Struthio camelus: one gene and its partners. The protein of the gene in region 4 interacts with the protein of the main gene of each other region in a pairwise test. Links are inferred from orthologs where the notes say so. Each region holds a gene or a part of one and is shown on either strand. Other genes may lie near its edges. The genes, in order: FLNA, HOXA1, PRKAB2 and ADAMTSL4.

Region 1 (7,339 bases), on a different chromosome or scaffold from region 4:
CTACACGCGTGTGTGCGTGAAGAACAAGCAGGTGCAGCCTTGAGCACGCGTGTTCACATGTGTTGGTTGCACAGGGCCTGATGCAGGCAGGTAACAGGTTTGGGTTTGCACGCCCGGGAGTGACACGGATCCCGGGGTGGGGGTGTAACATGCGTGTTTGCACACCCGGGAGCGACACGGATCCCGGGGCCGGGGTGTAGCGTGTGCATGGCCACGCGTGTGAGCGGCCCGTGGCCATGGCGGGGGCAGCCGCGTGGTGCCGTGTGCGTGAGGAGCACACGCGTGTGCGAGGGCGCTGGAGTGAGCACGCACACGCGTGCATGTTGACACCGGTGCAAGGATGCACACGCGCGTGCGAGGGCTCGCGGCGCCGCAAACGAACCGCCACGGAGACCTGGTAACGAGCCCCCCCGCTAACGAGCCCCCGGCGCTATCGGGGCCCTCGGCCGGAGGAGCCGTTTCCGCCGCTGCCTCGTTTCCTGAGGGCCGGGGGGGCCCTGCCCCACAGCGCCCCATAGCCGCCTGCCTGCCCTCTGGCCGCCCTGCTGCCCCACAGCGCCTCGCGGGGCCTGTTCTGCCCCTTAGGTTGCTCCCCTGCCCCATAGCCCCCCTCCCACTCCATAGCTGTTCCCCTGGGGTCCCCCCATGCCCCATAGCACCCCACAGGCCTTCAGCTGCCCCATAGGGCCCGCTCAGCCCCCCTCCTGCCCCATAGCATCCCCCGTCACCCTCTCCTGCCCCATAGCCCCCTGTGGGATCCCCTCCTGCCCTGTCCTGCCCCAGGGGAGCCCTGCTGCCCTATAGAGCCCCATAGCATCGCCCCCATCACGCTGCAGCCCCCCTAGCCCCCTTCTGCCCCATAGTGCCCCATAGCCCTCTTCCGCTCCATATCACCCCATAGCTGTGTCCTGCCCCACAGCCCTGCCATATACCCTACCTGCCCCATAGCATCCCCCATGGCCCCTTGCTGCCCTACAGCCCCTCCATAACCCCCACCTGCCCCACAGCTCTTCTCTTGCCCCATAGCAGCCCCATAGCCCCCTCCTGCCCCATATAATCCCCATAGTGCCTTCCTGCCCCATAGCATCCCCCATAGCTGCCCTTCTGCCCCAAAGCTGCCCCATAGCCCCCTTCTGTCCTGCATCCCCCCCAGCAACCTCCAGCCCCATAGCAGCCCCATAGCCCTCTCTTGCCCCATAGTACCCCCATAGTGCCCTGCTGCCCCATAGCATCCCCATAGCCCCCTACCTGCCCGATAGTAACCCCAAATCCCCTTCCTGCCCCATATAATCCCCTATAGGCCCCTCCTGCCCCATAGCCTCCCCACTGTCCCCCTCCTGCCCCACCGCCCCTCCTGCCCCACAGCATCCTCACAGTCCCTCTTGCCCCCCCCCCCCGCTGTCCCCACGGCCCCTCCTGCCCCACGGCCCTCCCGCCCCACAGCCCCCCCCCCGCCGCCCCCGGCCCCTCTCCCCCCGCCGCCCCCCCGCGGCCGGGGCGGGGCTCCGCGCGCCCGTTACCAATTAAGGCGCCGCGCGCGCCGCGCGCCCCCCCGGCAACCGCCACCCGCGCGCGGCGGCCGCGCTCCGCCACAGCCGCCGCCGCCGCTCCCCCGGCTCCGGCTCCCCCCGCCCTCCCGCTCCGGCTCCGGCACCGGCTCCGGCTCCGGCTCCGGCTCCGGCGGCTTCACCTCCGCGGGCGGCAGCGGCGCCCGGTCCGGTGAGCGCGGGGCTGCGGGCTGGGGGGGCTGCGGCGGCGCTGGGGACCCCCGTCTTTGGGGTGCCCGGGGGGGGGACCCCGTTGGGGGGGTGTCGTGAGGGGATCTTCCCCGGGGGGGGTCTGGGGACCCCTTTTGGGGAGGGTGTCATTGGGGGGGACCCTTATTGGGGGGTGTTGTGAGGAGATTTTCTCCTCGGGGGGGTCTGGGGACCCCTTTTGGGGGGGTGTCATTGGGGGGGACCCATTTCGGGGGGTGTTGTGAGGGGATTTTCTCCTCGGGAGGGTCTGGGGACCCCCTTTGTGGGGGTGTCATTGGGGGGGACCCTTATTGGGGGTGTCCTGAGGGGATTTTCTCCTCGGGGGGGGTCTGGGGACCCTCCTGGGGGGGTGCTGTGAGGGGATTTTCCCCGGGGGGGGTCTGGGGACCCTCCTGGGGCCCCCGTCTTTGGGGGTGCAGTGGGGAGGACCCACACTTGAGGGGCTGGGGACCCCCCCGGGGGTCTGGGACCCCCCAGGAGCGCTCGTTTTGGGGGTGCCGTGGGGGGGGGGGATACCCTGGTCTGGGCAGCGGCTGCGTCTAGAGCCCTGCTGGGGCGTGAGGGGGCACGATGGGGTGCGGCGAGGGGGCTGCGGGGCAGTTTGGGGAGCCCCCCGCCGCAGGGGTGACGGGGCCGAGGGGGACGGTTTTCAGTGTGACGGAGCAGTTAGGGTGTGACGGGGGATGGCTGTCAGCGTGCTGGGGGTGTGACAGGGGTGGCTCCTGGTGTGATGGAGCGTGTTAGGGTGTGACGGGGAGGACTGTCAGTGTGGTGGGGGTGTGACGGGGTGGCTCCTGGTGTGATGGAGCGTGTTAGAGTGTGACGGGATGGCTGTCAGTGTGGTGGGGGTGTGACAGGGGTGGCTCCTGGTGTGATGGAGCGTGTTAGGGTGTGACGGGGAGGACTGTCAGTGTGGTGGGGGTGTGACAGGGGTGGCACCTGGTGTGATGGAGCATGTTAGGGTGTGACGGGGAGGACTGTCAGTGTGGTGGGGGTGTGACAGGGGTGGCTCCTGGTGTGATGGAGCGTGTTAGGGTGTGACGGGGATGGCTGTCAGTGTGGTGGGGGTGTGACAGGGGTGGCTCCTGGTGTGATGGAGCGTGTTAGGGTGTGACGGGGGATGGCTGTCAGTGTGGTGGGGGTGTGACAGGGGTGGCTCCTGGTGTGATGGAGCGTGTTAGGGTGTGACGGGGGATGGCTGTCAGCGTGGTGGGGGTGTGACAGGGGTGGCTCCTGGTGTGATGGAGCATGTTAGAGTGTGACGGGGATGGCTGTCAGTGTGGTGGGGGTGTGACAGGGGTGGCTCCTGGTGTGATGGAGCGTGTTAGGGTGTGACGGGGGATGGCTGTCAGTGTGGTGGGGGTGTGACAGGGGTGGCTCCTGGTGTGATGGAGCGTGTTAGGGTGTGACGGGATGGCTGTCAGTGTGGTGGGGGTGTGACAGGGGCGGCTCCCGGTGTGAAGGAGCGTGTTAGGGTGTGAGGAGGAAGGTTGTCAGTGTGGTGGGGGTGTGACAGGGGTGGCTCCTGGTGTGACGGAGCGTGTTAGGGTGTGACGGGATGGCTGTCAGTGTGGTGGGGGTGTGACAGGGGTGGCTCCTGGTGTGATGGAGTGTGTTAGGGTGTGACGGGATGGCTGTCAGTGTGGTGGGGGTGTGACAGGGGTGGCTCCTGGTGTGATGGAGCGTGTTAGGGTGTGACGGGGGATGGCTGTCAGTGTGGTGGGGGTGTGACAGGGACGGCTCCTGGTGTGACGGAGCGTGTTAGGGTGTGACGGGGATGGCTGTCAGTGTGGTGGGGGTGTGACAGGGACGGCTCCTGGTGTGACGCAGCATGTTAGGGTGTGATGATGCAGTTTTTGGCTTGACGGGGTGTGACGGGGGCGGCTCCCGGTGTGACAGGGCAATTCCTGGCATGACGGGGTGTGACGGGGATAGCTCCTGGTGTGATGCAGCATGTGAGGGTGTGATGGGGGCGGTTCCTGGTGTGACGGGGTGTGATGGGGCGGTTCCTGGCTTGATGGGGTGTGACGGGACAGCTCCTGGTGTGACGGGGCGTGTTAGGGTGTGACGGGGCAGCGTCAAGGTGTGACGGAGGAGCGCTAAGGAGGCTCTGAGGACGCGTGTGGGGCTGGGAGGGTCCGAGGCGTTCGGGGCGCCCCCATGCCGGGGGGCGTGACCCCCCACCCCCCACGGGGCACCGTCCCGCCGGGGTGACTCAGCGCGAGGACCCAGGCGTCCGGGCTGTGGGGGAAGGGATCCCACCCCCCCTCGCGGTTTTGGGCCTGACTCAGCATCCGTCTGGCGCTTCCCCGGACACCCGAGGCCTCGGCACCGCCGGGGCTGGGGGGTGTGCAGGGGGGTCCCCAAATGGGGGGGCATCGGGGAGGGTCCCAACCGGGGAGCGCGGGGGGGCCCAGACTGGGGGGGGGGCGTCGAGGCGGGTGGGGGCTGGCGGGGTGCCCCCGGGGCCCCTCGCTCACTCCCTCCCCGTTCCCCCCAGGTCGGCGGCCCCTTTAAGCCGCCGCCCCCCCCTCGGCGCGCAGGCGCGGCAGCCGCGGGGGGCGTCGCCCCCCCGCCCCCGCCCCCTTAAAGCCATGAGCGCGGCGGGGCGCGCGCGCGCGGAGGAGGCGGTGTCACGCGCGGACGGGTCGCGCGCGGAGCCAAACCGCGCGGCGGCGGACGGCGAGATGCCGGCCACCGAGAAGGACCTGGCGGAGGACGCGCCCTGGAAGCGGATCCAGCAGAACACCTTCACCCGCTGGTGCAACGAGCACCTCAAGTGCGTGCACAAGCGCGTGGGCAACCTGCAGACCGACCTGGGCGACGGGCTGCGCCTCATCGCCCTGCTGGAGGTGCTCAGCCAGAAGAAGATGGGCCGCAAGTACAACGCGCGGCCCACCTTCCGCCAGATGCAGCTGGAGAACGTCTCCGTGGCCCTCGAGTTCCTCGAGCGGGAGAACATCAAGCTGGTCTCCATCGGTGAGGCCGCGGGGGACCCCCGGGACCCCCCAGCGGGACGCGGTTGGGACCGGTGCACCCCAATGCCTGCACTGATAAGGGGGGGCCCATAAGACCTGCCCCAGTGAGATCTCCTTTCGGGAGAACCCCCCAGTGGGGGCCTATGTGAGACCCCCCTTCCCCTTTCGGGAGCCGCCCCCCTGTGGCAGCCCCCTTCCCCTCATGCCCCCCCTTTTGGGAGCGTTTCTCCCTTCTCTGGGAGCCCCCACTTGAGATCCCCCCCGATAGGGCCCCGTGCGAGACCTGCCTCCTGAGTCCCCCCTCTTGAGGCCCCCTTTAGGATCCCGCCTTTGGCACCCCCCCCTTTGGGAGCCCCCTCCACGGGCCCCCTCTGGGCCCATCCCTGCCCCTGTTTGGGTGCCCCCTGAATGGGCCTCGCTTTGGGCTCCCCCCTTAGAGACCCCCAGGACCCTCTGTTTGACCTCCCCAGTAGCCCCCCTTCTGGCTCCCCCCTTAACAGGGACCCCCGCCCGCCCCCCTCCCCCGCACCGGGCCCTCTCCCCGGCCCCCCTCGGCCCCATAACAAAGGCGGGGAGGGGGGGCTGGGCCCGCTCCCATCCCAGGAATGTGGGGGGGGGGGTGCCGCTCGGACGCCTGGGTCCCTCAGTCCTGCTGGGGGGGGTGGGGCCCTGGCAGAGGGGTTCCCGGACGCCTCGGTCCTTCGGCCCTTTTCGCGGGGCCGAGGGAGATGTGGGGCTCGGGTGGGGGGTCGGGGGTCCCCGGACGCCTGGGTCCCTCGGCCCTGCGGTTCCCCACATCCTGCGCCCAGAGGAAGGCTGAGATTTGTGGGCGGCTCCGGGGCCCCACCCTGCCCGGGGGGGCAGCGGGGCCCTAGACACCCCCCCGGGGCCCAAACATCCCCCCGGGGCCCACATTCCTCTGGGTGGGGCTGGGGGTTACTCACCCCCCGTGACTCATCCCGGCCTCGATGCCAGGAAACGGCGGGGGGGGGAACTGTCGGGCCCTATGGGTGCGGGGGGGGGGGCGGGCTGTGGGGCTGCAAGGCTGCTTGTGGACTCTAGGGGAGCCCTATAGGGCTGCGGGGGACCTTGTGGGCTGCAGGGGGGCCCTATGGCTGCAGGGGGGCCCTGGAGGGCTGCAGGGGAGCCCTATGGGGCTGCAGGGCTCCCTTATAGGTGCAGGGGGGCCCTGTGGGGTGCAGGGGGCCTTGTCAGGCTGCAGGGTGCAGAGAAGTCGCTATAGGGCTGTGGGGGGGCCTATAGGATGCAGGGGCATCTCTGCAGGGCTGTGGGGGCTGCTCTGCAGGCTCCATAAGGCCATGGGGGTCCCTATAGAGCCATAGGGTGCAGGGGGAAGAGGGGGCCTCTGCAGGACCCTATGGGGTGCAGGAGAGCCCTATAGGGTGCAGGGGGCCCTATAGGAGGGTGCAGGAGAATGTGTATAGGACTGTATGAGGGCTGTGGGATGCCGAGTGTCCCGGGGGGTCTCTATAGGGCCATGGGGTGCAGAGGGGTCTCTGTAGGGCTGTGAGGTGCCCCTATAGGGCCATGGGGTGCAGAGGGGTCCCTATAAGGCTATAAGATGCAGAGAGATCCCTATAGGGCTGTGGGGGGGGGTCTCTATAGGGCTGTGGGGTGCAGAGAGGTCCCTATGGGGCTATGGGATGCAGAGAAGTCTCTATAGGGCTGTGAGGTGCAGAGGGGTCCCTATAGGGCTGTGGGGGGTCTCTATAGGGCTGTGAGATGCAGAGAGGTCCCTATAGGGCTGGGGGGGGGGGTCTCTATAGGGCTGCGAGATGCAGAGAGGTCCCTATAGGGCTGTGGGGGATCTCTATAGGGCTGTGGGATGCAGAGAGGTCCCTATAGGGCTGTGGGGGGTCTCTATAGGGCTGAGATGCAGAGAGGTCCCTATAGGGCTATAAGATGCAGATAGGTCCCTACAGGGCTGCAGGGGGTCCCTATAGGGCCGTGGGGCGCTGGGGTGTCTGTAGGGCTGGGGGGGCGGGGGGTCCCCGGGGGTCCCGAGTGGGGCGGGGGGCGGGGGCGGGGCCGCCGGGCGGGGGCGGGGCCGTGGGGCGGGGGCGGGGCCTCGCTGGCGCCCGAGCCCATATAAGGCCAAAAAATGCTGGAGCGTCGGGCGGGGCCGGGGGGCGGGGCTGGGGCCACCGTGGGGAGGGGCGGCCCGGGGCTGCCTGCTCGACCCCGCCCCCTCCCCGCCCCCCGCCGCTTTTGGAGGGGGGCGGCGGTGTCCACTCCCCCTCCCCCTGCCCAGCACCTCCCACCCCCCCTCCCACGGGGGAGGGGACCCAGGCGTCCGGGCTGCCTCCCCCCAACCCCCTGCCGGGGCCCCAGGCGTTCCCCCCCCCACACACACACACTCCCCGTCCTGTCCCCCTCCCTGCTGCCCTGTGTGTCCCCGTCCCCCTCTGCCGCTGCGCTGTGTCCCCAAGCCCGCCTGGCTGAGGCCACTGTGTGTCTGTGTCCCTGCACCCGTGGTGGTGCCACCGTGTCCCCAGCAATGCCGTGTCCCTGTTCTGCGTCCCCACACCCTGTGCCCGTGGTGGCACCGTGTCCCCAGCGATGCCGTGTCCCTGGTTTGCGTCC
Region 2 (7,067 bases), on a different chromosome or scaffold from region 4:
TATTATTCGAGTGTAGAAAAGGAAGAAAGTTTGTGTTATGAATCAGACTGGACAGCCCGAGCTCTGACCCCGGCCAAAAAAAAAAAAAAAAAAAAAAAAAACACGTCAGGAGTAATGTTGGGATGTTCTTTCTCCCTTTCTCCCTGAGAAAGGCCCCATCAGAAGAAAATAATGGAGAGTAAACTGCTGAGCTGAGCCGGTGACTCATCAGTGACGTCACGCAGAGGTACGCACACAAGGGATACCTGAAAGTTGAATATATTTATTACAGACATTATAAGGACCCGTAGATTGTGCCCTGGATTCCCTCAGTCCCAGAATCGCAGAGCCTTTGATGATTGTACAGGAGACGAGGAAGATAGTTCGCTCACACACGACAACTGATAGAACTCAGTGTACCCGGAGTACAGCAAAGCACTGTGCATCATGCAAACTTCCAGACACGAATCACATAAAATATACATTCATTTGGCCAGTCGTCACATTTACGATTAGATTGAAAAGACGTCGAGTCTAAAGGAGGGTTAATATGAAAACAGGAAGAGGTGAGGTCTTTTGGACAGTTATACCCTTCGGTTCAATATAATCCAGCACAGACTTCTGTCGGGGGAGGGGGGAGGGAAAGCACACCGGGTAAGGTTTTCAAAACCTAGTGCAATTGAAGCCTTGTTTGTCACACTTAAACAAATAGCGCTACTCTTTGAGGTATCTGCTTGAGCTTAACACGTTTAACTTGATACGGTCGTCTGCTTTAACAATATAAAATTGGATCCAGTTTTGCGAATGCACCCACCCTGCTTAACCTGATAATCTAAACGTCATTTCTAGAAAAATCTGTAAAAAGATAAATCTCTCGGACAAAGTATTTACAAGCAACAAACTCATAGACGCGAACAAAGAATACATTAAATTAAAGGATGAAAGTCCTGTAAGTCGTGTAAACACTTCCAATAGTGCATCTCTTCGTGAGGTTATGTACCCTAGATAGCCTGTCTTTCACTCAGGGGGAACTTGAAGAAAGGTCTTTGCAACGGAGGAGAGAGACCCTTACACATGTGCCAACACATCTCCTCCAGCCAAAGGGGAACAGAGAGAAAATGTCCTCTTGGCCCCGAGGCCCGGGGGCCGGGGGGGCGCGGAGCGGGCGGCTGCCCGCGACGGGGCGGGCGTTTGGGGCACCGGGGCTCTGAAGGAGACCAACCAGCCAACACACACACACAACAGCGTTAAATCGGTTCGAGCTACGGTAGGGAGGCGGCTTGGGAGTCGCGAGTCCAAGCCAGGGAGCACCCAGGTGCGTCTCAGTTTGAGGTAGCAAGAGTGTCTGAGGTAGAGGAGGATGGCGAGGCAGTGCAGGGCGACGAGCAGGACTTCTCTGATAACTCCTCCGCTTTCTCCTCACAGCCCGTGGGGGTGGCGGGAGAGATGGGTAGCAGCCCCTCTTTCTCTCTTTTCTTCTGCTTCATCCTGCGGTTCTGGAACCAGATCTTGACCTGCGTCTCGTTGAGTTGCAGGGAGGCTGCAATCTCCACCCTCCTGGCCCTGGTCAGGTACTTGTTGAAATGAAACTCTTTCTCCAGTTCTGTGAGCTGCTTGGTGGTGAAATTAGTTCTGACCGTGTTGGGCTGCCCCACGAAGCCGTACTCGCCAGCCTTTCCTGCAAAAGGGGACATCCAGCATTAAGTAAGCGCAAGTGATTTATAGGCGACGTAATCAATGTGTCCACACCGGCTAAGCGATAGGGAGCAAGAACTTCTTAGGATAAGAGGGAAGCCCCGGCAGGGTGAGTGATGGAGTGCGAGGTGCTAAACTGGACTCAGCCTCTAGTGTCAGAGGAAACTTGATAAGTGGTTTATGAATTACAAGAAATATGACCGCGGGGGGGGGGGGGGGGGTAGGCACAGGCAGCGCTGACTTTGAGCGTAGCGGGCAGACGGCGGCGGCTGCTCTCGGGGGTCTCGGGCGCTTTACCTGCAAAGCAAACGGACGGGACACCTGTGCGCCGCCGGCCGCGGGGGCTGTGCTTTGCCTCGCCTTGGCTTTACCGACGGAAGAGAGAGAAAGGAGCTCGCCCCCCCCCCCCTCCTCAGGCCCTCCCGTCCTGCAGCCGGGGACTAACCTGTTTTGGGTGGGTTTCTCTTGACTTTCATCCAGTCAAAGGTCTGCGCGGGCGGCGAGGTCTCCGCGGACGGGGAGCGGGCGTTTTCCTGGTGGCTGGCGTGGAGAGGAGACAGGGCATGGTTATAGGTGCCCAGCGGCAGGCTCTGCTGCTCCTGTCCGTAGGGGGGGTGCACGTACTGAGCGGGGCCCCCCGCGTAGCCCTGGTGCGGGTGCTGCGCGGCGGCGGCGGAGGAGAGGCTGCCCGAGTACACCGCGGGCGCGCAGGGGGGGAAGCCGGCGCCGAGCTCCGCGTCTTGCCCGAGGGGGTAGGGGCTGTACGCCGCGCCGAAGCCCTGCGCGCCGTACGTCGGGCCGCAGCCGGCGTGCGAGTAGGAGACCCCCAGGCCGCCGTGGGGCTGGTAGGCGGCGGGCTGGGCCGGGGGGTGGTGGTGGCGGTGGGGGCTGATCTGCACCCCGCGGCCCACGAGGAAGCGGTCCTCCCCGCTGCAGCTGCCGGCGCTGACGGCGCAGGGCTGGAAAGTTGTAATCCCGTGGTCGGGGTGGTAGGCGCGGGCGGCGCAGCCCCCGGCCTCGCCGCCGAGGACGGGGTACTCGAGGAAGGAGCTCATCCTCGCCGTGTCCCTCTGTCACGCCGCCACCGGGTCTTCAGCGTCCGGCGGGGCCGCGCCAACTTTCCCACTTCCTCCATGGGGCCGGGAGGAAAATGACACGAAGGTACAGCGAGCGGGGAGGCACGTGGGGGGCGGCAGCCAATGGCTGCGGCGCCTGCGGGACTTTCCCGGCTCCTGCCGCTGATAGATCGCCGCGTCGGGGGCATTTAAACGCCGAGCGCTCCGACGGCGCGGCACGGCGCGGCGCGGCGCCGCGGGGCACGGTGGCCGCCCCGGGGGGGGGGCCCGCTCGCCCGCCCGCCCGCCCGCCCGCCCGTCGAGAGGGGAAGGCAGCAGAGAGCCTGGCGGCTGCGCCCGTGCCCCGGAGCCCACCGGCCGTCCCCTCCAGGGTGAGTGATGCCGCAGCGTCCCCGCCGAGGGTTGCCCCAGCGCCTCCCCTGCTGCCGGCGCTGTCAGGCTGGCGATCGGCACCCTCGACCCACTTCCTCCCCCCGCCGCCGCCGCCGCCGCCTCTCTCTCCCGGGCATGAGCCGCGGCGGGGCGGCAGCCGGACCCACGGCACGGGGGGAGGCCGGGACAGGCTCTGAGAGCATCAGGCCTGGGGACGGGCACGGGCACGGGGCCGCGGATGGGCACGGGCACGGGGCTGGGGACGGGCACTCCCGCTGCTGCTGCTGCCCCGCCGCAGAGCCCAGCGCGACGCGCCGCCAAGAGTTAAAGGGGCTTGTCCAGCCGCATCACCAGGCGGCCGCGGACATTAGCATGGAAATGAGGCGCTTTTGGGACTGACGGCCATTGTGCTCGGCCGGGCCCCCCGGCCTCCCCCCGGCCCGGCTCCCCGCTCCCCCCACACCTCCGCCGGGCTCGCCCGCGCCAGCCTGGGGCTGTGGTAGGGGAGGGGGAGCTGGTGGCAGGGAGATGGGAGATGCCCGCCAAGGTGACGGGGCCGGGGACCCGTCTGCCAGCACTGCTGCCGCCCCGCACTCCCCTAGGCCCGGGCGGGGGCGGAAAGCTGCCCGGGGGGCGCAGGTCGCGGCCCGCCAGCCCGGGGCCGGGGCTGCGGAGCGGCGGGGAGATGCAAAGCCCGCCGCCCCGTCCCCTTTGTCCCGGCTCCGCCACCCGGGCTGGCAGTGGCGGGAGGTGGCAGATGGCCAATGGCAGAGGTGGCCCCAGGACCCTTGGGAACCGCACTGAGCATCGACTCCAACTCCCCCTTCCCCCCCTCCCCCAAAAAGGGTCCATGGGTAGAAAAGGAGGGATGGCGGCTGGGATTTGAATTGCGACCTCATACTCGCTTTGCGTATGCAAAAAAGGCAAGGGGAGGTATAGATCGGGCATCCACCCGTCCCAGGGCACCTATCCATCTGTAGGGAGAGGGGACGGCACCAACAAACCGATTTCAGCACACTTCAGAGAGGCGTCCTGCGAAAGGTTAACCTAGGGGAGAGATGGGTAAGAACTAATACTCCCACTAGCAGCAGCAGCTCCGTGAGCAGCTGCCTTCTGTATTCCTGCAGGTGCATTTCCAGCCCGATCGTACATCGCTAGGTTCTCAGGCTTTGTTGTTTTCTTCTGAAGCCCAAAAAGCTTCTCTACCCTGCCACCTCTCCCTGCTCACAAACACTTAACACACACACACACACACACACACACACACACACACAGACACACACACACACACACACACGCAAACCCACAAGCTCCTCCCATCTGAACTACAACATCCTCTCCTGGGTGCAAGGCTCTCCTACTGCTGTCAGGTCAGCCCTTATCCCACTCCATCTGCAAGGCCTCTCTGCGGCCAGCAAAAACTGAGGGACTGCCCATGCTTAACCATATGCCCTTAGTATTTCTGTTTGCTTTCATTTACTGCGCAGGCACGAATGAGTAAGAGCCCTCTGGAAAGGTTCGGTTTCTTAAACTCCGGTGGGGACGTGGCGGGGAGGAGTAACAACAAAACTCCAGAGGCATTTATGGAATTATACGGCACCATTTTTGGCTATGGTAACGGATGTAAACACATTTATTTCATTCTTGTAAAGCAGTTGTGATAAATACTGCATAAGGCAAAGGAAAAGGCAGGCCGCTGGGACTGTTTACTAATAAAAGAGCTGGCGTCTTTTCAGGGCTTTTTTACAACAGCTGGCCAAGAAAAAGGCATATTTTGCTATAAATAGATCGGGTTTACCCGTAAATCCTGCCAAATTACAACACCTCTCTTACAGCCTCCTGCATCCCGGAATCTTTTTTTGTTTGTTTGTTTGTTTTCTCGTATATTCGTGCCATTGTTCAGCAGAGATCCCTCTCTTTTGTTACATTGTCTCTCTCACAGTGCCTCGGATTTTTGCTGCCAATACTGTGCATGGGGGCAACATAATAAGGAGGGCCAGAGCAGAGGGAAAAATGCCCCTCCACCACCCGCCGAGTGGAGCTGCCCCCTCTCCGCTCCCAGAGGCGCCCGGCGGGCCCCTCTCCCCTCCGAGCCCCCTTTGTGGCTCGCTCCGGGCCGGGGTGCAGAAAGTGCCATTTCCTGCCCAGAGCTGGGAGAGAAGGGGGCAATTCCGGTGCTTAAGGCTTTTTCGTGGGAGATCTCGCATGCCCTCCCACCCCCCAGTACCCCCGCTATGGCCCTAGGGCTTATCGAGAGAGACTTAGGCGGCTCCTGTCTGCTGAATCGCCCGATTTGTTTAAACCGAGTGTGGGAAAAGTTTAAATCTGGTAGCATATTTTTCTTTGTTTCTTTTGTTTTGTTTTGTTTTGTTTTTTAAGCGTTAGCAGTATTCAGATATCTAGGCACAAAAGAAATCCCAGCCCATACCCGCACATTGCAATCCAGTTTAACCCAGTGCCACAGGAGTTAAAATACCGGTGAGGCTACTCGCTTTCCGCAGAGCCGGGGCTGGAGCAGAGAGAAGGACAAGAAGCAGGGCCGAGGTTTTGCCGCGTCCGCAGCTCAGCCAAGCTGTTGTTTTAAAAGAGCAATAAAAATGAATTATGACTAAACGCCTTCTCACTTAATGGTTTTAGACGGGGATCCCCAGCCCCGGCAAATACGTAAGAGGATTTTTATTTGTGCATGTGTTCCTGCAATTGATCTCTTTGATGACATTCTCATTCATAGAAAGAGTTTGATTTATGACTTTCGGAAGAATTGCGTTCAGCCCTTCCAGCTATAACCCACGCAGCTCAGCTCCACAACGTGTTGCAGGGCTGGGAGACAGCACTCCTCGCACGGACGGGCAGCGAAGTGCTTTCCCCAAACCCTCGCTCAGGCTGCGTTCTCGTGTGCACACGCACACTCACACTCCCACACTCACACTCACACACGCAGAGACATACACAGCCAGGGACCAACGATCCCTCGGGCTCTGCTCGCCCCCGGAGCCGGGAGCCGCCGGCTCGCATCTGTTGCTCGGCTTCAGCCCGCCGGACACGGCTCGCCCCCCGCTCCGGGCTCCGGCAATGCCGCTCAGCGAGTCGCAGGCAATTTGCTGGAGGTTTTTTACGCCCATCTTTGCTGCCTCAAGCAGAGAGCGGGGAGCCCTGAGGAAATTTCTACTCGGAAAGTAAGAGTTCCCCCTTTTCGTTATCAGCCATTCCGCTCGCAATCGGGTTTAAAGAGAAAATACCTTGCGCTGGGTCCCCGCACTTTCCCTCAAAATAAGCAAGTGGAGGGTGTATTCTCCCTAATGCTTTTTTTTAATGCTTTTATGGCACCTTTTTGATTTTGCAGGCAATAACTTTTTTTTTCCTCTCTTTTTAGGGCTGTTTTCTTGGACCGCTCAGCACGTGGACACGAATCAAACGCACTCTCTGTGAGGTTTTATATTTTAAGATACGCTTCCTGAAACAGCTTGCTGGCTGCTAAGTACTGTATTCTAGAAAAATAGGATTTTTTTTCCGAAAAGAGCCCTTCGTGTATGTAACAGGCTAGTTTCTGCAGGAAACACTTTTCCGACTAAGTCTAGCTTATGTTTTGCCTGCAACAAAAAAAAAAGTGCACCGTTATGCTTTTGTTACAGTTTAGAATATCCAAGCTTTGTATCCGCACGGAGATAACATGCTACGTTTATATATTAAAAGGAAGAAGCCTCTATCTAAGTTGTTTTAGTTTGTGTTTTTTTCTTGTGAGAACCCTTGCAATAAAGAGTTTGACAGTGTTTTTTCCTCTCTAAAACATGTACTTTCCAAAAGGGGAGAGATTATAGTCAGAATGTTGAATTTTCATTATTAGTAAATTAATAATAGAAGGCAGGGGGAGAAATATCCGTTATGTTATCAGTCTTGAAAGGAGAGAAAGAGAAAGAGAAAGGGAGAAAGAGAAAGAAAAAAGAG
Region 3 (7,383 bases), on a different chromosome or scaffold from region 4:
TCAAACACAAAGCAGCTCTCACGTCAGCTGTTACTACCCCCTCAGACAAAACTGACTCCGCACAAATTGTCTCAGCTCAGCTAGAACCACCCCAGCAGAGCTACCCCAGGGGCGAGCTGAAGCACCAGCCAGGACCTCAAGCGGAAGGACCGGGAAGGCAGCGGCTAGCCCATACCTTGGAGTCATGAGAGCTGAAAACACTGGGGTCGTCGGTGCTGCCCACCATGATCTTGTGTGGATGTTCTTTGCTAGAGTGGGGAGCACCAGAGCCATCCGAGCGGTGGGACTTGGAGCCATGGCGCTCCCCAGACAGTCGCTCGCTGGTGGTGTTTCCCATGGCAGCTCAGCAGCAGCTCTGCGGGAGAGAGAAGATGACGATGTTCCTATGCCCACGGGCTCCTGCAGTGAGGCAGTGAAGGCAGTGTTTCCCAACATCCTTTGCCCGGGGAGACTGACAGCAATCCTAAAAAAGGCTCAAAGTTCATTCCCACTGCCAAGTTTGAGACCTGAAGGGGAATTTAACAAACAAGACAGCTTGAGCTAATTATAGCCATATCCTTATGAGCCGTTGCTCTAGTCAACCCGGTAATTGTTATACTCTAAAACAGACACAAATTGCACTGCATCCTACACAACCCTCACCAGCCAGCATAGCAGAGGGGCTGATGGGAAAAATAAAGCCAACCTTTATTGGCAAATCAATTGCTTGACATAAACAGAGCCTCTTTCATAGTCCCAACAGACTCTGCAGACAAAATCTCTATTTCCAGCAAGAAAACAGCCAAGGAGTGAGAGTAGCAGCTGTTTAACAGCCCTCAGCAACTCTCTAAGGGCTCGCGGGCAGACGAGCAGAGCCTTGTGCCTGGCAAAAGCAACAGGGAGCGTTTAAACAGTCTGAGTGGAATTGCCCAAGCTGGAGCTTGGCCAAGGCATAAGGCTAATGCCCTGGTGTCTGCAGAAAGCTCAGCTCTTGATGGCATTCACTTATCATTCACCAGGCAAGTGGCCACGTCAGCTCCGGCACAGCACAACAAGGGGCGTCTGCTTGCTACAGCCCTCGCCAGCGGCACTACCACGAGCGGTCAGACATCTGGCTGGCCATCCAGAGGCACATCATGAGTGAAAGGTAAGCCTGCTTGCCTCAGCACTGCTCTGCAGGTGGAGATCGGGCATCATCCCCAATTTCATCCAGTTCAGGGAATGCAAAGCAGGAGGAACTTGCCCTATGGCAACAAGCCACTAACAACTACACACCTCTCAGGGCAAACAAAGCCATCACAAGTTACATAGGTCTCTTCAGGCCTGCTCCAGGCCTTACCCAACTTGCAGCAGCGGAGGACTGTGGGCCTTGCCCCTTTCCCAGGTTTATTCTGTAGCTCACATGCTTTCAGTCATACTACGCTGATTGCCAGCTCTGTGGGCAAGGCAATAGGACGGCCAGCCTTACTTCATACACTTAGTTGTGACATTTGAGATTTGTTTAGAAGGTCAGGTTATACGTAGGGTGCCAGGCGAGGCTGCCAGCCAAAGCCAGGCTTCAGAACATTACTTGCAGAGCAATTACTAAAGTATTTCTTAAATCCTTAGGGCTAAAAGATAGCTCGAGAGGACAGCTAGCACATACCACAGCCCCCCCTCTGAGCTAAGATCAAGTGTACCTGAACAGCCCAGGACAGGAGAGGTGCTCCACTTGCTCTGACATCTTCCCCCTTTCGCCTAGAGGAGACTGAACCAGCTCCTCATAGAACCTGCCCCTGCTCAACTATATGTGGTATTATGAAATTTCTTGCCCGCTATCTCGGCCAAGACTCTCTTAACTTCTCATCTACTAGCAGCAAGGTAAGAAGGGCTGAACAAAACAGATCTGAGAGATAACATGCAGACTGTTTCAGATTTGAAAGCTCCCCCTTCTCTTTTCTAGAAGCAATCCAATCCCTCTGAGTCTCCCTCGGTGGCCACATTCTCTATATGTTCCCCAAGATTTCTCCCAGGTGGTTACTCCTTTCCAAAATGTGACATCCAAAGCTCAGTGCAGACAAGAAGCATCTCCTGCCTCCTGCACACAGCCACGCTGCTGCACTGGAACAGCAACATCCTTCTGCAGCAACTCGCTTGCGGCTTGTAAATTCCTGTGGCCAGTCCATTTCAGTGCTCTGCGAGCACAGCCTGCTGTACTTCGCTTTACTGAACTAACTTTTACCAACTGAATCCTCCAAAGCTCAGCCACCCCTTGTAGCACAGCATCCTCTGAGAGTTTGGCACAGGTATCTTCTAACGCATCATGCAAGTCACTAATGACAACACTAGCTTCGTCTGGCCCCTGCTTCCCCCCGCTTCCTCGTGGAAATGACAGGCGAGGTGCACAAAGCCCTCCTATACCCACCACACCTACTGCTTCTCCCTCTTCCTTTGGGCCAGCTACCCTGTCACAAAAAACACGCCCGAGCCATCCGAAGGGATTCGTTCAGCGGAGACCACCTTGCTGTTCGGCGACAGTTGCCCACAGCCTGCTCCGTCGACGCCTCTTGGCACTGAAGTAAGCCAAGAAAGTTTCATTTCACTGGATTCTCCTGCCCCCCCTTCTCTTAGCAAACGCAACAAGAGCTCAGTTGGCCTGATGATGATGATGCTGACAAGCCGGGAAATCAGGGAGAAGAGAGCGTCTCATCGGGGATCCGCGGAGCGCACCCAGCGGGGCCGAGGCCTCGGGCCCGGCCCAGGCGGCGCGGGGCAGAGCAGGGCACCCCGCGGCCCGGCCCGCAGCGGCCCCGCCACCGTCACCCGCGGGCCCCCGCGGCGCGGTAACGCCCGCCCAACCGTCCCCTCGGGGAGGCCCGGCCACCCGCCAGCCAAGCCCGCGCCACGGGCAACCAGCCGCCCCCGGCCCCAGCACGGACAGCGACGGCCTCGCCCCGGCCCCACCTGCCCGCCGCCGCCGCTGCCGCCGCCTCCTCCCCGCTCTCCGCCTCCGTCCAAAATGGCGACACCCCCCTCCCGCTCCCGCCTCCTCTCCCCCCTCCCCCCGCCGGCCGCCACCGCCAGCCTCCGCGAGACGTTCTGGCCCGCCCACGCGCTGCTCTCTATGGCCGCGCCCCGCCCGCCCGCTCTCCGCGCCTGCCCGGGCCCCCAGCGATAAGAGGGCGGCCGCCCCGAGAGCAGGCCCGGCGGCGGGAGTGGCCCAGCGGGGCTGGCAGGAACGGGCTTCCCCAGCCCCGCTTCTTTGCCGCCGGGCAGCCTCCATCTTTTTGGAGGGCGGCCTGGCTTCAAGCAGATGTCGGTGCGGCAGCGGGCGGGCGGCAGCCATTTTTGTTAGGGGCGGCCGGCCTGGTGCGCGGCCATCTTGGCTGAGGGCGAGTGGGCTTCAGCGGCGCTCGGAGCGGCCATGTCGGTTGAGGGCAGGGCCGGCCCGGGTGCGAGGCCCAGGGGTGGCGGGGCCTGCAGGGGACTGGCCCGGGCACGGGGCTGGAGACCGGGCGGGGGCGGCCCAGGAGGTCACACAGTGTGCTCAGCGATGCCCTCGGCCCGCGGGCGAGCTTTATTGCCCTCTTCCCGAGGGGCCACGATGGCGGCGGGAGGCGAGACAGCTTCTCTCTGGGAGGCGATTTCCTCCGTGCCGGCCGAAGCCCGGAGGGAGGGAGGACGAGCGCGGGCAGGACCCCGTCTCCTTGGGTCGGCGGGTCAAGGAGAGAGCGAGACGTAGACGAGCGTGGCCACGATCAGGCCGATGCTGAGGAGGACCTTGAAGGCGTGGGGCACCAAGGTGGTGCGGGGAGGAGCGGTGCCGTCTCGGGCTCGCAGGGCCTTGACGACGCGCTCCCGCTGGGTCAGGATGGCCTGCCGGGCGCCGGCCCACCTCCCCGGCCCCTGCAGGCGGTACTGGTACGGGGTGCAGGGGCCCAGCAGCACCTCCGTCGCCAGCCGGGGGTCGGTGAGGAAGAGGGTGAGCAGGTTGGGCTTGACACCCAGCTGGCAGGCGAGCTCGTCCATGTAGGGGATGTAATCCACCTGGATGGTGTGCCGCTGGCTCCGCACGTACCTGCGGGAGGAGGTGGACGGGCGCTAGGGCTGCAATTTTGGGGGCGTGCCGAGTGGGGAGCTTCAGGGCTGGTGGCAGGGTTGCTGGGGCTGAGGGTGGCGCAAAGTGAGCAGGGATGGAGGAGAAGGGGGACGGGGCAGCACATCCCTCTCAGCGGGTGCGGGAAGGCGGGAGGGACCGCGGGATGCAGGGAGGGCCGGGAGGGGACAGGACCCCGCAGGCTGCCTCACCGCCGGCGGCCGTGCAAGCCTGGCCCCGTTTCCCGGCGGGGTCTTACCGCTTGGCCATCTCTTCTTTCTTGTGGTTGATGTCAGCCTCCATGTCGCACCTCGGAGGCAGTTTGTTCAGCCCTAGAGGGGAAGAGCCCGAGCGGGTTCAGGTTTCAGGCCTGCGGGCCACAGGCTATAGCTGCGCGGGGGGGGGGGGGGGGGGGGGCGCTGTTTTGGCTCGCTTACCCTTGAAGACGCGGGTGGCCCAGCGGCACTGGAGCTCGGAGATGGGCATGATGGCGCCGAGGGGCTGGATGAGGCCGATGAAAGCCAGCGTTGGCTTCTGCAGGTCGATGGGGAACATGAATTTGTACAGGGAGATCTGGTTCTCCACCACCGTCACGCAGTCCTCGAGGAAGGGGAAGGAGAAGCTGTATCCTGTGGCGAAGACCACGGCATCGATGTCGTCTTCCTTGGTGCCGTCCTCGAAGATGGCGGCAGTTGCTGTGAACTCGCGGACGTTTGGCTTGACCTTCACCCTGCCCGAAATGATGCGGTTGGGCAGGTCATCGTTGATGGTCGGGTGCTGGTGGAGGATCCTGGAAGAGCACAGAGAAACCTTGCAAAGGGCATGGGGCAGGCATGCGGCAGCTTCTCTGGGCCATCGGGTGGTGCGTCCCAGTGCCTGGTGCAGGACCCGTGTGTCATCCCTGCGCTTACCGGTGCTGGGGCTGCAGGCCGTAGAGCGCGTGGTCGAACCGGGCATTTATCTTCCTCTCCAGGATGAAGCTCCCAACAGAGAGGGGAACGAGGCTCTGGAGGAGCTGGATGAAGCGGGTGAGGTAGGAGAAGTCGAAGGGGTAGCCGCTTTCGGCGAGGCGGTGCAGCACCCAGGCCCCGCGCCTGGTGCTGAGGAAGACCTGGGAGGGAGGAGAGGGGAGGTGGAGGTGCCAAGTGTGGCATGAGGGACAAGAGCTGTGTCCTGAGAGCCGTTTCCTTTGTGCACCCCCGTGGAGGCATGCGAATCCCCTGCGCAGCACCCGTGCAGCTGGGATCAGCTGGGAGGGGGTCAGGGTGCCGCTATGGTCCCAGTCAATGGGTGGTCCCCTAAATTATGCGCTGGCTCCAGGCTCTGTGCAGCAGCCAGAGGACAGGGCTGTGTTCTTGCTGTGCCCCTTGGACGTTGGGGTTGTTGACACAGCTGCTAGGGTGACAACGACCACCCTCTGCAAAGGGGGTGGGAGATGCTCTCAGAGGGATATGGCACAGCAGGGAGGGGAGCCTGCAGGCGATGGAGGAGGCTTGCCCCAATACCCTTTGGGATTAGGTTGCTCTCTATAAATAAACACAGCAGCGAGGGAGAATAGCCTTTTAAGCTGAAGTGCAGCATTGGCCTGAAATCAGACAGGCCTGCATGGGCCAGGAATAAATATAGTCTGGGAGCGAGATGAGGGAGAAGGAGCGTGCCTGGCCACTGGTCGGCTTTGGCAGCACAGGCACAGGGTGAAAGCCCAGCCTGGTTTTAAATGAGTCTCTCCTAGGAGATGGACAGCATCCCCGTGCGTTTGCAGCCAGCCATGCTGTGGGCACACCTGCTTTGCTGTGTGGCCCAGCTCCACAGCAATGTCGATGCCTGAATTCCCGGTGCCGACCACGATGACGCACTTCTCTGAGAAGGCCTGCGGGGTCTTGTACTCCCGGCTGTGCAGGTACCAGCCCTTGAACTTTTCTAGCCCTGGGAGGGAGAGCAGAGCAGAGCTGTGCCAGGGAGGGACCACGGGGCGAGGGGGTGGCTGTCCTCCGGCTCGGGCTGGTAATGTGTTTTGGGAATGAGCCAAGCCCACTGTGACCAGCAGGAGTGATGCAGCCCTGGGACAGCGCCCAGAGAGCTGGTGGCATCTCCACCCTGGGAGATGGTCAGTGGGACATGGCCCAGTTTGTGGAGCAGGGCTGGGACCGGAGACCCATTCCCTAAATCTTTTCACAATTCAGCAGTATCTGCCTGCAGAGCAGAGCAGTTTGATCAGATGTTGAAGGCACTGTGAGAGCCTCGTGGCAGATAGACCACTGAAATGGGTGGGATTGCAGCTTGTTGCAGTGGGGATTGATGCAGGAACCCACGAGGGGCGTTTTTGGCAGCAAGCACAGTGGGGTCAGGGCTAAGCCTAAAGAGACGAGTGCTTTGAGAGGCCTTGGGAAGCAGGTAAAGGGCCCACGGGGCCGTGAGACCCGCGGTGGGCCCAGGGGAGCCAGCGCAGCGTACCTGGGAAGGTGTGCAGCGGGAGGTGCGCGTTGGTGTGGTGCCCGGTGCACACCAGCACAGCGTCGAAGACGGCCGACTCCTGCTCCCCACCGCTCTCGGTGACCACGTCCCACTGGCCGGTGACGGCAAAGTCGGGGCGCTTTGCCACGCGGCACACGCTGGTCTGGGCGCAGGGGGCAAGGAGCGGGCGTCAGGTTGCGCCCAGCCTGCCCAGGGCACCCTGCACCCCCCGGCCCCGCGGCGCTCACCCTGAAGCGGATGTATCGGAGCAGGTCGAAGTGCTGGGCGTACATGCGGAAGTACTCCATGATCTTGGAGTTGTGCATGTAGTTGGGGAAGTCGTCGGGGATGGGGAAGTCGCTGAAGCACATCATCTCCTTGGAGGTGTTGATGATGACGGACTTGTAGATGCTGGCGCGGCCCTCATCGGGGTGCTCCTGCGGGATGGGTGGGCACGCTCAGCACCTGCTGGGACTCCCAGGGGCAAGGGACGGGGCTGCGGGGTGCTCCCTGCAGGCGCTTATCTGGCTCAGCGTATCTCTGCCTGTACCTCGCCGTGCCTGCGGGGTCTATCAGGCCCTACCTGGGAGCTGGAATAAGCTGCAGCTGTTGGGAGCTGTGACAGCAGTTGAACCAAGACAGCCCAGGAAGAGATGGAGGGGACTGGGACTAGGACAGCCTGGGTCTGGAGTGGGGACTGGAACTGGAACTGGAACAGCCTGGGAAGGGGCGGATGGGAAGGCCGAGCCAGGACAGTGAACGTTGGCCTAAGGGCTGGCCCAAGCAGTGAGTCTGTGAGGAAGGTCCTATCCCGCTGCTGCTGTAAAGGAGACCATTCCCATGTGGTCAGCACATGAGGTTGTACTGAGGGAACA
Region 4 (8,009 bases):
CCCAGCTGCAAGCATCAGCTCCCGGAGTCAAGCGAAGCCTCCAGCCGCTGTTTCCTCCCGGACCACCCGGGCAGGCAGCGAGGTCGCTGTTGCAGCAGTTTTACCTCCCCGGTCCGGGATGGAGCAGCAGTGGCAGCCAAAAGCCTTGGCTCTGGCCCCAAACGGTGCCCGGGGGCTGGCAAACCGCCTCCTTCCCTGTGCCGGCAGGAGCCTGCTCAGCTTTTCCCCTTTCCCTGTTTGATCCTCTCCCTGCACAAAGACGCACCTTTGGGCTGCCGGAGAAAAGAAACAGCCAGGTCTCCAAAAACAGCACTGGAAAAGGAGGGGAAAGAGTTGGGGGGGGGGGAGGAAGGCAGCCCGGAGGCAAAGCAGAGATCTGGGCTGCTGCTGGGATCCTTCGGCTCCGGCCGGCTCCTGCTAGCGACCGGGTCACCTTGTCCTGCCCTGCGTCTGTCCGTCCGCCTCCCCCCCCCCCCCCGCCCCAAGCCCTTTGAAATGAAGGAATTTGAAGTATTTTTGGATGCCACGGCGGAAGAGGAGAAGGGATCCGTTTGCTGTTTCCACCGGCACAAAGCAGAGCCGGAGGGGAAGCCGTCCGGAGCGACCTGCGGGCCAGGGCACGGAGAGGTCGGGATCAGGCCCGGCAGCCGCAGGAGCACGAAAGCAGCTTGCGTTAAGACGGCTGAGAAACCACTTGTTGCCTGGGCTATCTATATTTGAAAATGTGAGCAGACTGGCTGGAATATCTCCCACCCTGGTGGAGGAGGGAAAATAAAAAAAAAAAAAAAACAGGTATAAAAATACCCGGGGACTTTTCCGTGCCTCCGATGGCATGTGGAGGGCACTGCCCGACGCGCAGCCTGCCCTCCACGCCTGGGCCGTCCGGCCCACCCCCGAAAAAAGCCCTAACTGTTATATCTGTATAAATAAAGATATAAAAATAGAGCACATGGTGGCCGGTGTATCAGCAGCCGCCCAGCACATTGTTTCCGCAGCTCTGCCCTGCCCGGCAGGGATGGCTCCGGGGGGGGGAATGCAATCACAGGCAGGAGAGATGCCCTTCCCAGGGCATTTCAGCAGCCCGGAGGCCCCCCGGCCCCCCCTTACCTGCTCGCTGAACGGTCACAGCCTGAGGGGACAGGGGTGGCCGCGGGCTGGGGTCCTCCAAGCCTGGGGGCTCCCGGGGCTGCCATGAAGGAAAGGGGGGAAAAGCTGGTCCCAGGGTGGCAAAGCACGGGGGGGGGGCAGGGGGAGCCGAAGAGAGGGAGCATCCAGGCACAGAAGGATGGGGAACGGGGCAGCAAAGGGATGGAGTAGCCAGGGAAGGATGCGGACAGAGTCCTGGTGGCCAGAAACGTGGGCACCCAGCAGCCCCCCCTGGATGCCAGTTGTCCCCCCATCCAGGGATGCTGCACATGGAGCTGATGAGGGGCTGGGCTGGGGAGGGGGATGGCAGGATGAGGAAGGGGCTGCGGGCTGGGCAAGGGAACGGGGAAGGGGGCTGCAAGCAGGGGAAGGAGCTTGTGAGCTGGGGAAGGGGGTGGGGAAGGGGCTGAAGGCAGGGGAAAGGGTTTGTGACCTGGGGAAGGGGGCTGCAGGCTGGGGAAGGGGCTGCGGGATGGGGAAGGGGTTTGAGGGCTCAGAAAGGGGGTTGTGAGCTGGGAAAGAGAGTTGGGGAAGGGGCTACAGGATGGGGAAAGGGCTGAAGGCGGGGAAGAGGTTTGAGGGCTGGGAAAAGGGGCTGGGGGCTGCAGAAGGGCATAGGGAAGGGGGCTGCGGGGTGGGGAAGGGGGTTGCGGTCCAGGACCCCTGCCCACACCGCTCTCACCGTCCCGGTGCTCCAGCCCCCCCTCGGCGAGGCCGCCGCTGCGGCTGCCCCGGCCCGGTCCCCCCCGGCAGCCCGGGTGCAGGCAGCGGGGGCTGGTCAGTTTCATCCCGAACAGGGTCAATTTCAGCTCGAAATGGTCAATTTCACCCTCCCCCCCTCCCCCCCCCCCCCCGCCACTCCGAACCGGGTCAGTCCCAACCCGAAAAAGGCGAGTTTCAGCCCGAATCGAGTCGCTCCCGGCCCCGGGACCGGGTGGCCCCGGCCCGACCCCCGCCGCCAACCGCTTCGCCCCCTCCCCGGTCCCCGGTCCCCCATCCCCGGCCCGGTCCCCCTCCCCGCTCGCGGTTACCGGCCCGGCCGCCGACCCGCTCCTTCTCCGCCGCGTCGCCGATCCCGGTGCTCTTCCCCCGGTCCCGGTTCCCCGCCCCTGACCCAGCCCCGCTCCCCCCTTCCCCGGCCCGCCCCGGTCCCCGGTCCCGGTCCCCGGCTCCGCGCACCTCGCGGCCGCCCCATGGACGCCCCAGGCTCGGCACCGCTCGGCGCGGAGCGGGGGCGGCGCAGCCCCGGCCCGGCCCCCGCCCGGCCCCGGCCCCGCTGCGCTGCGCTGCGCCCGGGGGGACCGGCCGGGGGGGGGGGAGCGCTGCTGCCCCACGGCCCCGGGGGGTGCCCCCGACCCCCGCTCTGCCCCGCACCTCCGGCCCCCCCCAGCCCGATCCCTGCACCCCTGCGCCGTCCCCGAGCCTCGTGCGGGGCTCCCGGCCCGTGCCTTGTCGCCAGGCCGTCGGGGACATCCGCAGCCCCCCACCCCATAGCCACCCGCCGTCCGGCCCCGGCCCACGGTCCCGGCCGTCCCCGAGCTGTGCGCCGTCCCCAGCCCGTGCCACGTCCCCAGCCCACGGCCGTCACTGACCCAGCGGGCACCGGCCGGGCTCTCTGGTGAGGGACGAGGCTGGTGACCTCGCTGTGTCAGCGGCCCGGTGGCCAGCGGGAGGACCGGGGCGGCCACCCCTGTCCCCACCAACGCCAGCCGCGGGGCCCGGTGACAGGCCGTGGTGGCGCGCAGGCAGGGGGGCTCATCCCGGCGTCGCGTCCCCCCATTACCTCTGATCGATCCCGTCCGCAGCGGCAAGGAGCCCTGATGCATGGCGAGGGGAAACTGAGGCAAGCAGCCACAAAGGGACGCGACTTTTACCCCTCCACACCCCGCTGCGGCCCTGGGGCAAGGTGAGAGCCGGGTCTGCCCCGGTCAGGCTGCTGGAGCCCCATCCCAGGCGGAGGCAAAAAGAGGGTTGCAAAAAGGCAGGGGGGGTTCCAAAAATGATGCAAAAAGGTGCAAAAAAAGGTGGATGCCGGGGGGGGGGTGGCCCAGGGGCGCCGGATGCAGACGAGCAAACTTCAGCTGGGACCAGGGCACTGGCGCCAGCCTCGGTGGCAGCGCGATGGCAATGTCTCCCGTGCAAAACTGCGTGCCTCAGTTTCCCCCAGGGAGCAATCCCCTCTGCGGGGCTTCGCCAGGGCCCCGGCCTCGCACCGTGAAGTGCTTTTAATTGCGCCGAGCTGCTCTTGGCAGCGGCTCCAGCTGAGCAATTAGTGACTGGGACTCGACGAGGCCTCGCATGGCGGCAGCCAGGAGGTCCGCGGCAGCCGTGGGATCCCTGGGGTTACTGGGAGGCTGGGAGGGACTGGGAGGGGGGACGCGGCCGCGGCGGCTCCCGCTGTGTTGACACAAGTCCCGTCCCGTCCCACCCCCCGCTCGCTGGCTGGGGCGACGGCGCGTCTGGGACCCGGCGCCACCGCCGGCCGGGGAGGCATCGCCCTTGGAGCTGAGACCGTGCAAACTCGCTGCCACGGGAAGGGCTGGCAGCGGTCGAGGTCAGGCCGGGAACCCCGGTGTGACCTGCTCTCTTCCCGGGCGGCTCCCGTAAACACGGCCCCGGATCCGGCCACCGCCCCGGCACGCTCCCGAATTAGCACCAGGGCCCAAAAATAGCCTCCGGCCCCGCTGGGACCCCGCCAGGCACCAGGGACCCGGGGACATGGGGGGTACGGGGACGTGGGGGACACCATGGGGGACATGGGGGCATAACAGGGGCCACGGAGTCATCAGCGGGGCCATGGAGATGTGGGGGGCACGGGGACACCGCAGGGGACACTGGGACGTGGGGGGGCATAGGAAGGGGGAGACGCAGGCAGACCAGGGTGGGGGGGGACGGGGCAGCTCCACGTGCGCCCGGACCCACGGCCAGACCCGCAGCCGGACCCGCCACCCTGCGGGACTCCCACCTCCGCGGACCCCGCCCGCCTGGGTCCCTGCGGTGCCGCTGGCGCACCCCGACACGCAAACAGGCCCCGGCGCGCGGCGCACGCCTGCACGCGGCCGCACAGACGCGCACCCTGCGCGGACACACCTGCACCGCGGCCCCGGCATGCCGGGGGGGCCGAGGCACCGGGGCGGGGTGGGGGGGAACCGACGCACCTTGGGGAAACCGAGGCAGGGCTGCGGCGCGAGGGTGCAGGCGGAGCCGGGCTGTCGGGGAAAGGCTTTATTGAGCCCCAGGAGCCCGTGGCCGTCGCGGGGCAGGAGAGGGGCCGCGGTGCAGCCCCAGCCCCCCCCCCCCGGTCCCGTCATGCCCCCGGCGAGCTCGGGACGGGGTCCGCAGCCCTGCCGGGGCTCAGCATGGCCAAGGGGGGGGGGGCGGACGGTCTAATCCTGCTCCGCGGCCAGCAGCTCGGGCTCCGTCGAGGCCAGCAAGACGCTGGCCAGGTAGCTGGCGTCGAAGCACCGGCGCTGCTCCTCTGCGGTGCCGTGCGCGCAGCATCGCTTGGGGTCCTTCCACGAGTCCCGCTGCGAGGAGCAGAGGGCGGCGATGGTGCGGGATTTCTGCGGAGGAGACGGGAGGTCACGAAGGGCCCGGACGCCTGGGTCCCCCGCGTGGAGGCGGGGCGGGGGCCCTGCGCTCACCTGGTCCTCGGCGCAGGCGACGCGCTCGGCCCCGCCGCGCGGGCAGCACGCCTCCGTGATGCTCTGCACCAGGGCCGGGACCGGCTTCCTGCGGCGCCGGAGAGAACCGCCGTGAGCGGGGTAAACCCAAGGGCTGGATCCTCCCGGCGGGGGCCAGGACGCCTGGGCCCCCCGCTGCCACCCCCTAACCCCCCCCCCGGCCTGCAGTACCGCCCAGCGCCGCCGGGGGGCGGCCCAGCCCCGTATATCCCGCCCCGTCGGGGGAGCCCGGTTTGGGGGGGGGGGGGGCCGGACGCCTGGGTCCCTCTGAGCACTGCCAGCGTGGGGGATCTGGAGGAACATCCCGGAGGGGAGGAGTGGAAACGGGGCCCGGACGCCTGGGCCCGCCGGCACTCACTGCTTGGCCAGGAGGCGCGCGGGGCCGCAGAGGGCGTCGAGCAGCGCGGGGCCGAGGCGGGCCAGGCTGGCGTTGCGCAGCTCGCGGTCGTAGGCGGGATGCGGGGCCTCGCCGGCGAAGCAGCCCCAGCGGGCCGGGCCCCGGCCCCGCTTGCAGCAGCGGTGCTGCTTCGTCTTCACGCCGCTCTCCTCCTCGCAGAAACGCCCCAGCGTCTTCTGCCACTGCAAGGGGGGGGGGGGGAGAGCTGAGCATCGGCCCGGCCGCCGGCCAGGTGGGGAGGGGAGGGGAGGGGGGGGGACCCCCACCCCGGGGCGCCCTCGGCCCGGACTCACGGCGGCGCGGGCGCACTCGACGCTCTCGGCGCGGCAGCACGTCTTGTAGTCGCGCTCCAGGCGGGCCAGGGCGCGCGCTCGGCTCTTGGCGGCGCCGAAGCCGGACGGGGGGAAAGCGCCGGGGCCGTAGACGGGCCGGAATTTGCGCAGCCGGCAGATGTTACCGATGTTGGCGGCGGTGGGCTCGCCGGGGGGGAAAACGGGCTGGGGTAGGGGCGGCACGGCGGCGGCGGTGGCCGGCGGCGGCTGCAGCTCGAGCGGGGCGGGCGAAGCGGCGGCGGCGAAGCAGCGCTCGCGCTCGGCCCCTCTCCTCTTGCAGCAGTAGTAGTGCCTGGTCTTCACCCTGAACTCGTCGGCGCAGAAGTCCTCCAGCACCTCCGCCCACTGCGCAACAAAAATAATGAAAATAATGAAAAAAAGATAATATTGCAGCAAAAATGCAATAAACATAAAAATTAGCAAAAAGCCCCCCCCCCCCCCGTAGGGGACTCACCGCCTGCTGGGCGCAGGGCAGGGGCTGGGGCCGGCGGCAGCAGGCGTCGAGGCGGCCGTCGAGGCGCTGCAGCGCGTCCGCCTGGCGCCGCAGGTGGGAGAAGCCGGTGCGGGGCAGGTCGCCCAAGGCGTCCCGGGGCCGGGGCCGGCGGCACAGGTCGGCGATGGTGGCGGCCGCGGGGCGCCCGGGGGGGAAGTCCTCCAGGTCGCTGCCCCAGCGCTCCGGGGACGATGCCGACGGCGCCGGGGAGCGCAGCACGGGCAGCACCAGCTCCCGCTCCTGCTGCAGCACCGGGGCTGCGGGACGAGCAGGGTCACGGCGGGGCGCCCGCGGTCCCGTCCCGGGGCTGGGGGCGGGGGGGGATTTCCCTGCCTCCCACCCGGGACACACGTCCTTGCAGCCCTGCTGGATGCGTCCCCCTCGCCCCGTCCCTCCGCCCCCATCCCTGGGGCACGCGTCCGGGGAGGGGGGGGGGTCACATCCCCCGGGGGGGGGGACAGGACGCGTCGCCCACCCTTTCCCAGGGGTCACATCCCCGCGTCCCCCCACCCACCACCCCCGGGGCTCACCTTGCTCCAGGTCCTCGAGCCGCAGCAGCAGCCCCACCTGGGCCGGGGGCTCGCGGGGCCCCGCGGCCGCCTCGGCGCCGGCACCTGGGCGCGGGGACGGCGCAGGGTGAGCGGACCCGGGCGGGGGGGAACCGTGCCCCCCCCACCACCACCGCATGCACCCGGACCCGCCGGGAGGAAGAGGAGGAAGGAAGGGGCGCGAGGCCGAGGGTCGGTCGCCCCGCGGGGCCATGCCCCGCGGCCCTGAGTCACTTCCCAGGGCCGGGCCTCAGTTTCCCCCGCCTGAGACCTGGCCAACTCGTTCCACCCGTCCCAGCTCGTTTCAGCCGCCGGCAGCGCTACCCCTGACCCGGTGCCTCCCTCAGAGCCCCCCCCCCCCTTAGGGACCCAGGCATCCGGGGCGCAGGAGCCGGGGGGGGGGGGCTCACCGGCGGCCAGGCAGAGCGGCGGCGCGACGAGGAAGAGGAGCAGGAGGAGGAAGGCGGCCATGGCGTCGCTCCCGGGTCGGCCGCCGGCCTCGCCGCCTTATGAAGGGCCGGGGCCGGGCGCGGGGGCCCATCCTGCCGGGGGCTGAGTCACGGCTGACGTCGCTGGGCCCTCCCCGCCGCCGGCCCTGCCTCAGTTTCCCCACGCGCGGGGGGTCCCCCGGAGGAGGAGGAAGGAGGGGGGGGCCGGGACCCCCCCCCCCCACTCCTGACTCACCCCTCAGCGGTGCAGGAGAAAGCCGGTTTTTCCCCTTTTTTTTTTGTTGTTTTAACTTTCCCCTTTCCCGGTTTACCCGCCCCGCGGCTCCACCCCGGAGCCTGGCCGGGTCCCCGCGCGGGGCTGATTCACCCCCCCGTCCCCCCCCCCCGGTGCATCACGTCCCCCCTTCCCGGCACGGGCAGCCGGGCTGGCCCCTGCGGTGGTCCCGGCCCCGGGGACGGCCCAGACAAGCGTGGAGGGTCCCCAGGCCACCGGGTGGCACGAGGTCGGTGGCCTCGGGCACGTCCCTTAGCCCCCCGGCGCAGGGGGGGGGACGCAGCCCCGCGGCCCCGACCGCAGCGGGGGGGAGGGCTGAGTCCTGGCTGCAGCTCGGTGCACCGGCCGCCCACGGAAAACGGCGTTATTTTCTAGCTGTGAAGCCAAATATTTGGGCCGAACGACAAGTGCCCAAAGTGGTGGCGGCTGGCACAGGGCGAACACGGGCGATTGCCCAACGGCGGCCGGGGGGGGGGGGGGGGGGACAGCGGGGCCCGGCCTGACGCGGGGTTTCACAATCCCTCCCGAAACCACCGCGCGGCCCGAGAGGCGGCGAGCCCGCCACGGAGGGCGAGCGAGGGAGAAGGGGGAAACCGAGGCACGGGGAAAGGGGGCCCGGCCCCGGCCCCCCGGCCACCGACCCAAGGGGAGGATTTGGCAGGGCTGGTGCCAGCCGGTGCATGCACC

Evidence for each region.
Region 1: the proteins of ADAMTSL4 (region 4) and FLNA interact in binary tests that used the Homo sapiens proteins (3 or more experiments, as listed by UniProt). The link is inferred for Struthio camelus from reciprocal best matches to the Homo sapiens genes ADAMTSL4 and FLNA.
Region 2: the proteins of ADAMTSL4 (region 4) and HOXA1 interact in binary tests that used the Homo sapiens proteins (3 or more experiments, as listed by UniProt). The two-hybrid records come from large-scale screens. The link is inferred for Struthio camelus from reciprocal best matches to the Homo sapiens genes ADAMTSL4 and HOXA1.
Region 3: the proteins of ADAMTSL4 (region 4) and PRKAB2 interact in binary tests that used the Homo sapiens proteins (3 or more experiments, as listed by UniProt). The link is inferred for Struthio camelus from reciprocal best matches to the Homo sapiens genes ADAMTSL4 and PRKAB2.

Annotation. Positions count from the first base shown.
Region 1 is NC_090979.1:220,167-227,505, forward strand, and holds the start of FLNA (filamin-A), read left to right. Parts: upstream 1-4,336; 5' UTR 4,337-4,351; coding exon 4,352-4,736; intron 4,737-7,339. UniProt on the Homo sapiens protein: Promotes orthogonal branching of actin filaments and links actin filaments to membrane glycoproteins. Anchors various transmembrane proteins to the actin cytoskeleton and serves as a scaffold for a wide range of cytoplasmic signaling proteins.
Region 2 is NC_090943.1:39,094,299-39,101,365, forward strand, and holds HOXA1 (homeobox protein Hox-A1), read right to left. Parts: upstream 3,005-7,067; 5' UTR 2,730-3,004; coding exon 2,120-2,729; intron 1,658-2,119; coding exon 1,302-1,657; 3' UTR 243-1,301; downstream 1-242. UniProt on the Homo sapiens protein: Sequence-specific transcription factor. Regulates multiple developmental processes including brainstem, inner and outer ear, abducens nerve and cardiovascular development and morphogenesis as well as cognition and behavior.
Region 3 is NC_090949.1:9,239,001-9,246,383, reverse strand, and holds the start of PRKAB2 (5'-AMP-activated protein kinase subunit beta-2), read right to left. Parts: upstream 3,015-7,383; 5' UTR 2,923-3,014; intron 2,706-2,922; exon of another isoform or gene 2,479-2,705; intron 2,443-2,478; exon of another isoform or gene 1,659-2,442; intron 507-1,658; exon of another isoform or gene 356-506; 5' UTR 338-355; coding exon 176-337; intron 1-175. Other genes in the region: flavin-containing monooxygenase 5, read right to left, coding at 3,679-4,036, 4,314-4,386, 4,492-4,844, 4,966-5,165, 5,838-5,980, 6,509-6,671, 6,757-6,945. UniProt on the Homo sapiens protein: Non-catalytic subunit of AMP-activated protein kinase (AMPK), an energy sensor protein kinase that plays a key role in regulating cellular energy metabolism.
Region 4 is NC_090971.1:2,664,639-2,672,647, forward strand, and holds the start of ADAMTSL4 (ADAMTS-like protein 4), read right to left. Parts: upstream 3,007-8,009; 5' UTR 2,930-3,006; intron 1,187-2,929; 5' UTR 1,108-1,186; intron 313-1,107; 5' UTR 266-312; intron 1-265. Other genes in the region: ECM1 (extracellular matrix protein 1), read right to left, coding at 4,533-4,709, 4,791-4,878, 5,188-5,408, 5,520-5,903, 6,013-6,308, 6,582-6,665, 7,010-7,070. UniProt on the Homo sapiens protein: Positive regulation of apoptosis. May facilitate FBN1 microfibril biogenesis.